Oryzias latipes: one gene and its partner. The protein of the gene in region 1 purifies or fractionates together with the protein of each later gene. This does not show direct contact. Links are inferred from orthologs where the notes say so. Each region holds a gene or a part of one and is shown in the gene's direction. Other genes may lie near its edges.

Evidence for each region.
Region 2: the proteins of klhl15 (region 1) and nudcd3 purify together in Homo sapiens (co-immunoprecipitation; 3 studies listed by BioGRID and IntAct, with this or other methods). This does not show direct contact. The link is inferred for Oryzias latipes from reciprocal best matches to the Homo sapiens genes KLHL15 and NUDCD3.

Annotation. Positions count from the first base shown.
Region 1 is NC_019878.2:2,980,017-2,984,550, reverse strand, and holds the start of klhl15 (kelch-like protein 15), read left to right. Parts: upstream 1-1,729; 5' UTR 1,730-1,896; coding exon 1,897-1,957; intron 1,958-3,068; coding exon 3,069-3,156; intron 3,157-3,935; exon of another isoform or gene 3,936-4,025; coding exon of another isoform or gene 4,026-4,045; intron 4,046-4,196; coding exon 4,197-4,335; intron 4,336-4,534. UniProt on the Homo sapiens protein: Substrate-specific adapter for CUL3 E3 ubiquitin-protein ligase complex.
Region 2 is NC_019870.2:1,856,770-1,861,259, forward strand, and holds the start of nudcd3 (nudC domain-containing protein 3), read left to right. Parts: upstream 1-1,578; 5' UTR 1,579-1,713; coding exon 1,714-1,911; intron 1,912-2,282; coding exon 2,283-2,566; intron 2,567-2,635; coding exon 2,636-2,768; intron 2,769-2,833; coding exon 2,834-2,977; intron 2,978-3,059; coding exon 3,060-3,248; intron 3,249-4,490. Other genes in the region: mrps24 (28S ribosomal protein S24, mitochondrial), read right to left, coding at 1,133-1,168.

The DNA of each region.
Region 1 (4,534 bases):
TTAGTTTGAACCCGCGTGTTTTATCCGAGTGGCTACGTTGGGGTCCTTCCTGAACAGATGATGCAATTTATCTGTTCTGGTCCTTTTCACAAGTTTTTTTAATCAAGTTATCGCTGTCCACATTTTTTGTAGATCTATTCATCGTTTAAAGGTTCCTGTTTAGGTTAACATATTACCTAAGTAAAAGCGTGTGAATGATCGGGTTCGTGAATGAGTAGTCGAGGTGCGTCCTTTGAAGATGACGTAACAAAGTGACGATCTGTAGTCGTTCTTCTAATTTGTAGTCCACATCTGTACTTTCTGTCAGAAACAACCTGAAACCTGCTCTCATTTATTCTGGTCTTGTGAATTCACACAAAAATTTTGGAAAAACATTCACAAATTTATCACCGACTCTATTTTTGCTGATATACAACTTTACTATAAAAACGTACTATTTGGTTTCCATAGTTTTGATCTCAAAGACCGTGATGCTTTCTTTTGTATAGACATGTTTTTATTTATGGCTAAATTTCATGTTCACAAAAGCTAATTTTACAATAAAAAAACTGATTTCTTTGTGTTCAAACTAGAACTGCAGCAAGTTAATTTTAGATTCAAAAAATACAAAAGCTCAAAAATAATTAACATTTGTAAATCTTTTGGAATACTGACATAAGTTTACTCTAGCATTTTCTCTTTTTTCCCTATGTTTATTTCTTTTTTCTTTCTTTATATTTAATTTTTATTCCCTTTTGTTTGACTGTTACTGATAATTAAAATCTTCCTAAGGATGTAACACGTTTATTCTGTATTCAGAATTGTAATGTACATTATAGAAGCATAAATGTTGCATTTTTTTGTTCTGTATGTTGCAATTGTTCAATAAAAAAATAAATAAATTAAAATTCCTGCCACAGACTTGAATTTCTAATGAACTCCTTCCACTCTGCAGAAACTATGATCTAGAAAAAGACACAGGTTTTTTGATTGTGACTAAAAAACTGCATCAACATAATTAAAAAACCACTGGGAACACTTTGACATTCACATTAGCGGTGCAACAAAAATGGTGATCAATATCAGAGGATCCAACTGTAGAATTTGGATCCAAATTTCAGCTCAGACGAGGAAAACAAAGACCCACATGGATTTACAGACAGTGGAGGAATCAGAATGAAGCAGAGCAGGGAGACGCTAGCCTGCCCAGCGTAGCTTCAACATCACAAATACAATGTTTTTCACAACATTTTTTTGTCTGCTCTCGATTCACAGTGATTTGAATACAGAAGTACTGAGAAATACAAAACCGAGCTTAATTTTTTAACACCATTTTCATCAGAGTGTGTCTTTAAGTTTACAATAGTATATCAAAAGTAAACTTCAAATATACTGCCTTTTTAAGTGTAGACTGAGGATACTTGTAGTACAGTTAAACAGGTTCCTTTTGTTAAGGGTGTGTAACTTTGTAGTTACTATAACAGTGAAACCTTTTATCCATGGTGGTTTAAATCGGGTTTTGATATTTACCACAGAAAGCTACATTACGTTGTAATATTTACATTTAATTGTTGTATTTATTTTATATTTCTTGTTTTTTAAACTGCTTCAATCTACAAACATCTGTGTGGTATAAACCAGAAACCAGGTTCGTGTTTTTCTTCACCTGTAGTGATACATGTTCGTCAATAGACGATCTTCGGCGGACTGCACTACGCCCTTCAGTTCCGCCCAGAAGGGAAATGACGCCACTGCAGAAGATGGCGTCCGTGTAGTCCGGCCACCGCGGTGGCTCTTTGGCCGTGTGATTCGCCTCCTTGTCGGGGCTCTCCGCGTCCGCGCATGGGCTCCAACACAGCTACGGCGGTGAGCCACTGCCGCCCGTTTTCTTGAACACGGAAACGAACTCGCAACTTCATGTCCGAAGGCGCCAGAGCTGGCTGGTCGAAGAGGGGTTGTGGGGATTCGCACCGCCGAGGTGAGCTGTTTGGATTTAGCCACTAAGCTAAGCCGTTCCTCTGTTGACCAGCGCCGACAGCCGTGAACGTGGATCCGGAGCGGCGGGCGGAGAGCCGCGGACCGTTGATGGGGTTTCCTGCCCGTGACGGAGCGCTGCCCTCCGGCCCCCGGAGCCGCCTGGAGCCCCTTTGATTCGGGAGCAGCAGCTCTCACTCCGGACTCCTGCGGGCAGAACCTTGTTTACGTGACGGACGAAAGCACTCAAACGCACCATGATTTGTCACGGGGCAGCTGTGATTCTGTGACGCGTTCACGGCCATCACCTGCAGGAGCGCCGCCGTACACCTGCTGTTGTTTTTCTGTCGTGACTCGGAGAAAATCCGGGTGCTGAGTCCCGCACACACCTCCAGGTTTGGGCCCTTTGAGACCCCCCAACACGCCAGACCATAATAATATCTCCGGAGTTATTGCAACAAACGAGAGAACTGATACGTCACTATAAATCAAACGGACCCTCTTCTTTTTGTGCATCTCTGAAAGTAGCCTCGAGCTGTTTTACTCATAATGTTCTGAAGTGATGGTTGTCATCGTTCCTGGGATTAGTTTTCAACAATCAAACGTTTGTTTTGCTCAGGTTTTTTCCCACTATTATACAATTATTTACCTGTGAATTAAATTAACTTTATTCCTTTAAAACCAAATGACAACAGATGTGTTTTAGAAAACACAGAAAAACATTTAAAAAAGGAATAACGTCAGATGTTTCAGTCACGTTTAATCCATCATTTCAATGGGATTGTATTTAAATAACGACATATGTAGGTGACAGATTGCAGGTTTTCCTGTACCCAACGTTGAGCGACTGTAAAGAAGATGGTCGGTCCTGTAGGTCACAGGGTTCTGTTCTTCAGGCCAACCGGACCTCATTTGGAAGGAGCAGATCCTGTGACAGAACTCCCTCTAACATGACGTGTACCTGCAGCAGAACCAGACGGTTCCTTTGGATCGTGTCTGAGTGGTGGGGACTGAAAAAAAGAGGAATCGGTTTCAGTTCTGGGGTGTTTGTGGGGAAGCTCCTGGTCTTTGAACCCATCATCCTCTGAACCTTTGTCTCCTGTGTGTTCTGGTAGAACCAGGGAAACACAAACACAGGAAATGCGAGCGACCCCTTAGTGCTCAGCTGTCACAGCCTGTGATCGCTCGCTCGGGCTCCAAAAGGTACGACCCCCTCCCCTCCCCGCCTCACTCCATGTTTCAGCTCCACAGACACTCATGACATTTCATGCTTTCATGCCTGTAGTTTATACAAAGTCACATCTTCAAGCGTTCCTGTTTCTTGTGGTACAAATATGACGTTTGCTGCAGATGCTGTCTATAATTTAGACTAATAAAGCTTTCAAATGTTTGAACCTCAACAGGTTTGCTTAAAACAAGAGTTTGCTGCATCAGAAAACTGAACCATAGCTGTTCTCTTCACTGATAATCATTGTTTAAATGTCCTTTAGTTTTTGAAAATAAAAATATATGAAGTGAGAAACGGCTAAGATTAAATGTCTAGATGATGTTCTCTGATTTCCTAGTTATAGTAGGAACATGAGTTTCAAAGGCTGTCATTGCAAACACAGTGAAGCAGTCTAAAGCCCCGTGCTGCCCAAAGACGTGCCTGTCTGTTAATCTGCTCAGACACTGGCTGATGTCGTGACTTTTAACAGAAACCGTCTGACATGTGACTGAATCTGAATCCTTATCAAACGATTCATTTTCCTCCTGGAACGACCTCAGTCTCTGTAAAAACCTGAGTCCAGAGAGGAGGCCGTTAGCATCACGCTGAGGTCAAGCCTGACCCCATGCTCTTCCTGAGCTGAGTCAGCTGACCTCTGCGCTGCTGATGTGTTTCCTCGCTGTGGACTCATGGCGGCTGCGGCGTGGATGGCGTGGAGCTCCGGGCAGCAGCAGCTCTGCTTTAACGTGGTGGTTGTGTTGGCTTTGTTGTTCAGGTGATTGACGCTCAGAAAAGGGACTTTGTTAACATCGTCTGGACACAAAGGGGCACTGTCCTCTGATTGGCTCGGACAACCCCCTCTGACATGCCCGTGGCCAATCAGAGGTGAGTGTGCTGTGTGTGTGTGTGTGTGTGTGTGTGTGTGTGTGTGTCCATCAAAGCAGTGAGGGTGGGCGTGATGGTCATGGGGGGTGTTTGGGGCGGGGGCTGGAGCAGCCGGAACACGGTCCCCCTCTCACTCCGCCTTCTCCCACAGGTGTGTGATGTCGGGGGCGGATGTGGAGGTGTACCTGTCCCAGGTGCACGACGGCAGCGTGTCGTCGGGCTTCCGGGCGCTCTACGAGGAGCGCCTGCTGCTGGACGTCACGCTGCTGATAGAGGAGCACCACTTCCAGGTGAGGAACCGTTTAGTGAACCCGTGGAGGGGACTTTTACGGGGGGGGGGGGGGGGGGGGGGGGGGGTTTGGAGACGCGCTCCTGAACTCCTCGTGTGGTTTCTTCAGAGGCCTCGTCTGAGGTCAAAGCAGAGGCGTTTTGGGGCGGACCAACCCAAACCGCTGAGCTGCACAGCTGCATTCAGTTGTGCTGTTATCC
Region 2 (4,490 bases), on another chromosome or scaffold:
ACCTTTTCCCACCGAATGGGAAAAGAAAACGACTGTTCGAGTGATCTTCACAACATTTCACACACCAGTAAGTCTAAAAACACAACCGATGTTTGGTTAACCTTTGACCCCGTGAAGAGGCCGCCAACAAATTGAAACTCCTCCGAGGGATTTCGATCCAAGCATCATTGGGAAGCGACTTGGAAGGAAAATGATGGAAGTAAAGTGTGTAGGTTTTGGACTGCGTTATTGTGGCGAGCGTCCTCAGGTGACCAAAAAACAAAAAGGTTGCCATGGAAATAAAACCATCAGAAAGCTGTCATTTTGGAAAATGCTAACCATTTGACTTTCCTTTGGTTTTATTTCTGATTTGAAAGGTGAACTATTAGAGCTCGCAGAGAAATGGAATAATGGTCTTTAGTTTGGGAGTTGAAGAACCAATGATGACTTTTCACTCTCAGATACAAACATATGAATGAAAGTTCATATGAAAGTCTGGACGAACAGATCTGGACCTAATCTGAGCCATCAGTGCAGAAGTTTTTGCCTCCGTTCCATCTAAAACTACCTGTTGTCGAGTCTTTAAGACAGAAATAAACTTCAGCTTGTTGTTCAAGAAAGAAGGAGAAACACGTCTGATTTTTAAATCAACCCATCAGCTTTCAGAGTTGATTTAAAACTAGTTCCTTCGTTTATAAATGTCTAAATGGATCCAAAATACTTTTTTGAACCTCTTAGAGCCCTCAGATCCTCACATGCAGGTCTGCTCTACTTCCAAATGTTGAGAAACACTGAGAGGTTATTAACTGAAACGAGATCTTTAGATAGATTTAGTGTCATTTGAATGCAGCGCCCTCTGTCGGTGGATCCTGAAACCAATGGGTTTTCTTCAAATGCTGAAAACCTTTCCGGATTAAATCGTGGCTTTAGCTCACTTGGATTACAGACACGCATTGATTTATGGGGGGAAAAAGTCTTTAAAGAAGTTAATCGTCTCTTCGTTCTCGGCAGGCCAACATTTCTCACAGAAAAGCTTCTCGTTCGTAACCAGAATATCATCGTTTCTGAGACGTCATCATTATTTTTAAGAAAAGACGTTTTCGATAAAATAAAATGTCTTAGATGTTAATAAATGTTCATTTTGTTGTCTCACCAGCAGCCTCCCGCCGCAGCTGAAGGACGCGGCCATGTTTTCTTGTACCGTCTGAAGCGGAACTACTATTGTCCTTAATCTATGTTGTTTTATAACAACGTTTTTATTTAAAAAGAACAACAAAAACGCATGCTTTATATTAAAAACAACTTCCAAACTAAAAGTGTCGATCAAAACAGCCCTTTTTATGTTTTTATGACCGTTTGTTTTTATGTTGTTTCTTAGGGAGCGTTTATGTAGCTGGAACGGAAATAAATCATTTTTTACAGTATTTTGTTGTTGTTGTTTTGCGCTTGATTTCAATGAATAAATAAAATTAAATTGGTGCATATTTAAGTGGGCTCTCTAATTTGTAAATTAGCTTGCTTCAAGATGATTTCGACGAAAAGCAAGCTAAAAAAACAAACAAAACGACTGGTGTGCTCTTATTTTGACATGGTGGTACCGGAAACTGCGTCATTGTTCTGGAAAAAGACAACCGTAATCAGAGAGACAAAACAAACCGGCCTCATTTATACACTGTCGTTCGTGGTTTTGGTCACTCGGGTCATTTCGGAAAAGGGCTCGCGCTCGCAGCCGCGATGGCGTCGCCGCTGGAGATGACGGAAATGTACGACAACGCTCTGCTGGGGATCCTGCAACACGTCGGAAACATTCAGGACTTCCTGAGGGTCTACTTTGGGTTTTTGTACAGAAAGACGGACTTTTATCGACTGCTGTCCGGTCCCGACGACAGGATGGGCTTCCCTCCTGGAGTCGCAGAGAAGATGGTGCTGAAGGTGAAGTTTTGTAAAGGCGCTCGCGGCGTGGCGCGTGCCTTCCTTCCGAGCGTTTGCCGCGAACGAACCAAAGTTTCAGATCTTGTTTAGATTCGTGTTCTGGTTTGGGTTCTTGTAGAGATGCGCCACAGATAATAATATCTACACTCTAAAAACACATCCCCAGCGTGTTTCAGGACCGTTTAAAAAATGTTTAGGGGCCCTGGGCAAACCTGACTGCAGGGGCCCCGTCATCTCTCCTGCCGCTCAAAACCCCAGACGCCTCTTTCTACTGAGCTGGTTTCAGTGGAACCAGTGCCTCTGGTTCTCCAAACTCCTTCTGAGCTCCAACTGGTTTCTGGATCCCACGGCAGACTTTCTTTTGTCCGCAGACGTTTAGGCTGTTCGAGCAGATGGCGGATCAGGACCGGCAGAGGGCGCTGAGCCAGCTGCAGAACGCGGAGGAGAGCCGCGGCGTTCCTCCTGCAGTCCAGGAGCTGCAGGTCTCCTCTGAGCCCCCAAAGGCAGAGGAGAGGAGCAGCGTGGAGGCGCCACAACCGGAGAGCGCCGCCAGCGAGGCTCCAGACGCTGCGGCTGCTGCCGGTGAGGCTGCGGCCCCCAGCGGCAGAGGAGCTCCGTCGTCTCAAGGAGATGAAGCGGCGGCGGCGGGAGAAGGGTGAGCATCCGGCGCAGAGGAGGAGGAGCTTCCTGGACGGGCCCGCCTCCTGACGGGTTTGTTTTTCAGGAACCAGGACATGTTTCAGGCCAACCCCGACAGCTACAACGGAGCACAGAGGGAGAACTACAGCTGGTCTCAGGACTACACGGACGTGGAGGTCCGGGTCTTCGTGCCGAAGACGGTGGTGAGAGGCCGACAGGTGAGTCCGAGCCGCTGCGCCGCCAGGAGGTCGGCAATCCGGCGCTGACGGGGGCGTGTCTGCAGGTCAGCGTCAGTCTGCAGCCCAGCGGCATCAGAGTGTCCACGAAGGACGGCGGCGAGGAGAGAACTCTGATGGAGGGGGAATTCACGCACAAGATCAACACGGAGAACTCCCTGTGGAGCCTGGAGCCCGGGAAGTGTGTCGTGGTGAGAACCGGGACAGAACCGGGCCCTGTTCACCAGGAAAGAGCGCTCTCTCCGGGCTCATGTGGGTGTTTGTGACTCGCAGCTGTCGCTCAGCAAGACCTCCGAGACCTGGTGGAACGCGGTGCTGAAGGGGGAGGAGGAGATCGACATCAACCGGATCAACCGCGAGCGCTCCATGGCGACGGTGGACGAGGAGGAACACGCCGTCCTGGACAGGCTGACGTTCGACTACCACCAGAAGCTGCAGGGCAAACCGCAGAGCCACGAAATGGTGAGGAAGCAGCTGGGCGCGAGGGGCGGGACTTTAGATCAACGCTTTCATCGGAACAGCCAATCGGTGCTGAGCCCAACAGAAGAACTCACGGAATAGAAACGCGAGGATCGTTTAAAAAAAGGCTCATGGGCACTAAGGTAGAAAGATGCTAAACTAGCTAAATATAAGAGCGTAGGAACAAAATTAAAAACGTTATTTCCAAAGTTACGTAGTAAATAAGACGCATTAAACAACCGGTGCATCATGTGAGACGAAAGACATTCTGGACCTTAGTTGTATTACACAACGCGTGTTATTGCTGTTTAAGCCACTTTAGCCGCATAAGCCACGTTTGCCATGTTAGCCACATTAGCAGCGTAAGCCAGCTTAGTCATGTCAGCCGCATTGGCAACGTATGCCGCGTTAGCTACGTAAGCTATGTTTGCCATGTTAGCCGCATTAGCCACATTATCTGAGTTAGCCACATCAGCCGTGTTAACCACATTAACCACGTTAGCCCCATTGGCCGCGTTACCTGCGTTAGCCACATTAGCCGCGTTAGTCATGTTAGCCACGTAAGCATAGTTAAAAACTGCCAACCATGTTTGGGACACGTAAAACTGTTACTGGTAAAATAAAACGTCACCCTGACTACGCTAAATCCCAACTTTTGTAATAACACAGACATGCTATAGTAACGTATTTACCATAAACCCAACCGTTTTTTCAACTTGTTACAAAAATTGACATTCTGACAGAGCGCCATGTTCCTCAGGAAATCAACAACAATCAACATCAGTAAACAAAAGCAGAATTAATGCATAAGCGACACACACGGCTCGACAACTGTTGTAATGCCGGTAGAGGTGTTCTGCTGCAAGTCGCCTGTCAATCAACAGACCACACCCCCATTAGCACACGATTATGACTTGTAATCGTGTTCCCTCGTTTATCGTAAACGTTCTAAAACTACGGGACGGATGTTTTAAAACTCACTTTCTAGACTTTTCTCAGACAAACATTTTCACACTTTTCTCTCCTTCAAACTGACAAAATTCAAACATTCGTAGAAAAAGAAGTTTAGTTTTATAGAAAGAAAACAAAGATCTGATCAGGATTGAAGATTTCTGTAAATGTGGAAAAGTGAACGCATTCTGTAACACAATGGAGGTTAAGGATTTTAAGATTTTGTTGTTTTATTTCTTGGAAACTTTGAAAAGTTTTTATGTGAAAATGTGTCAAAACTGACTCGTGTTCAAA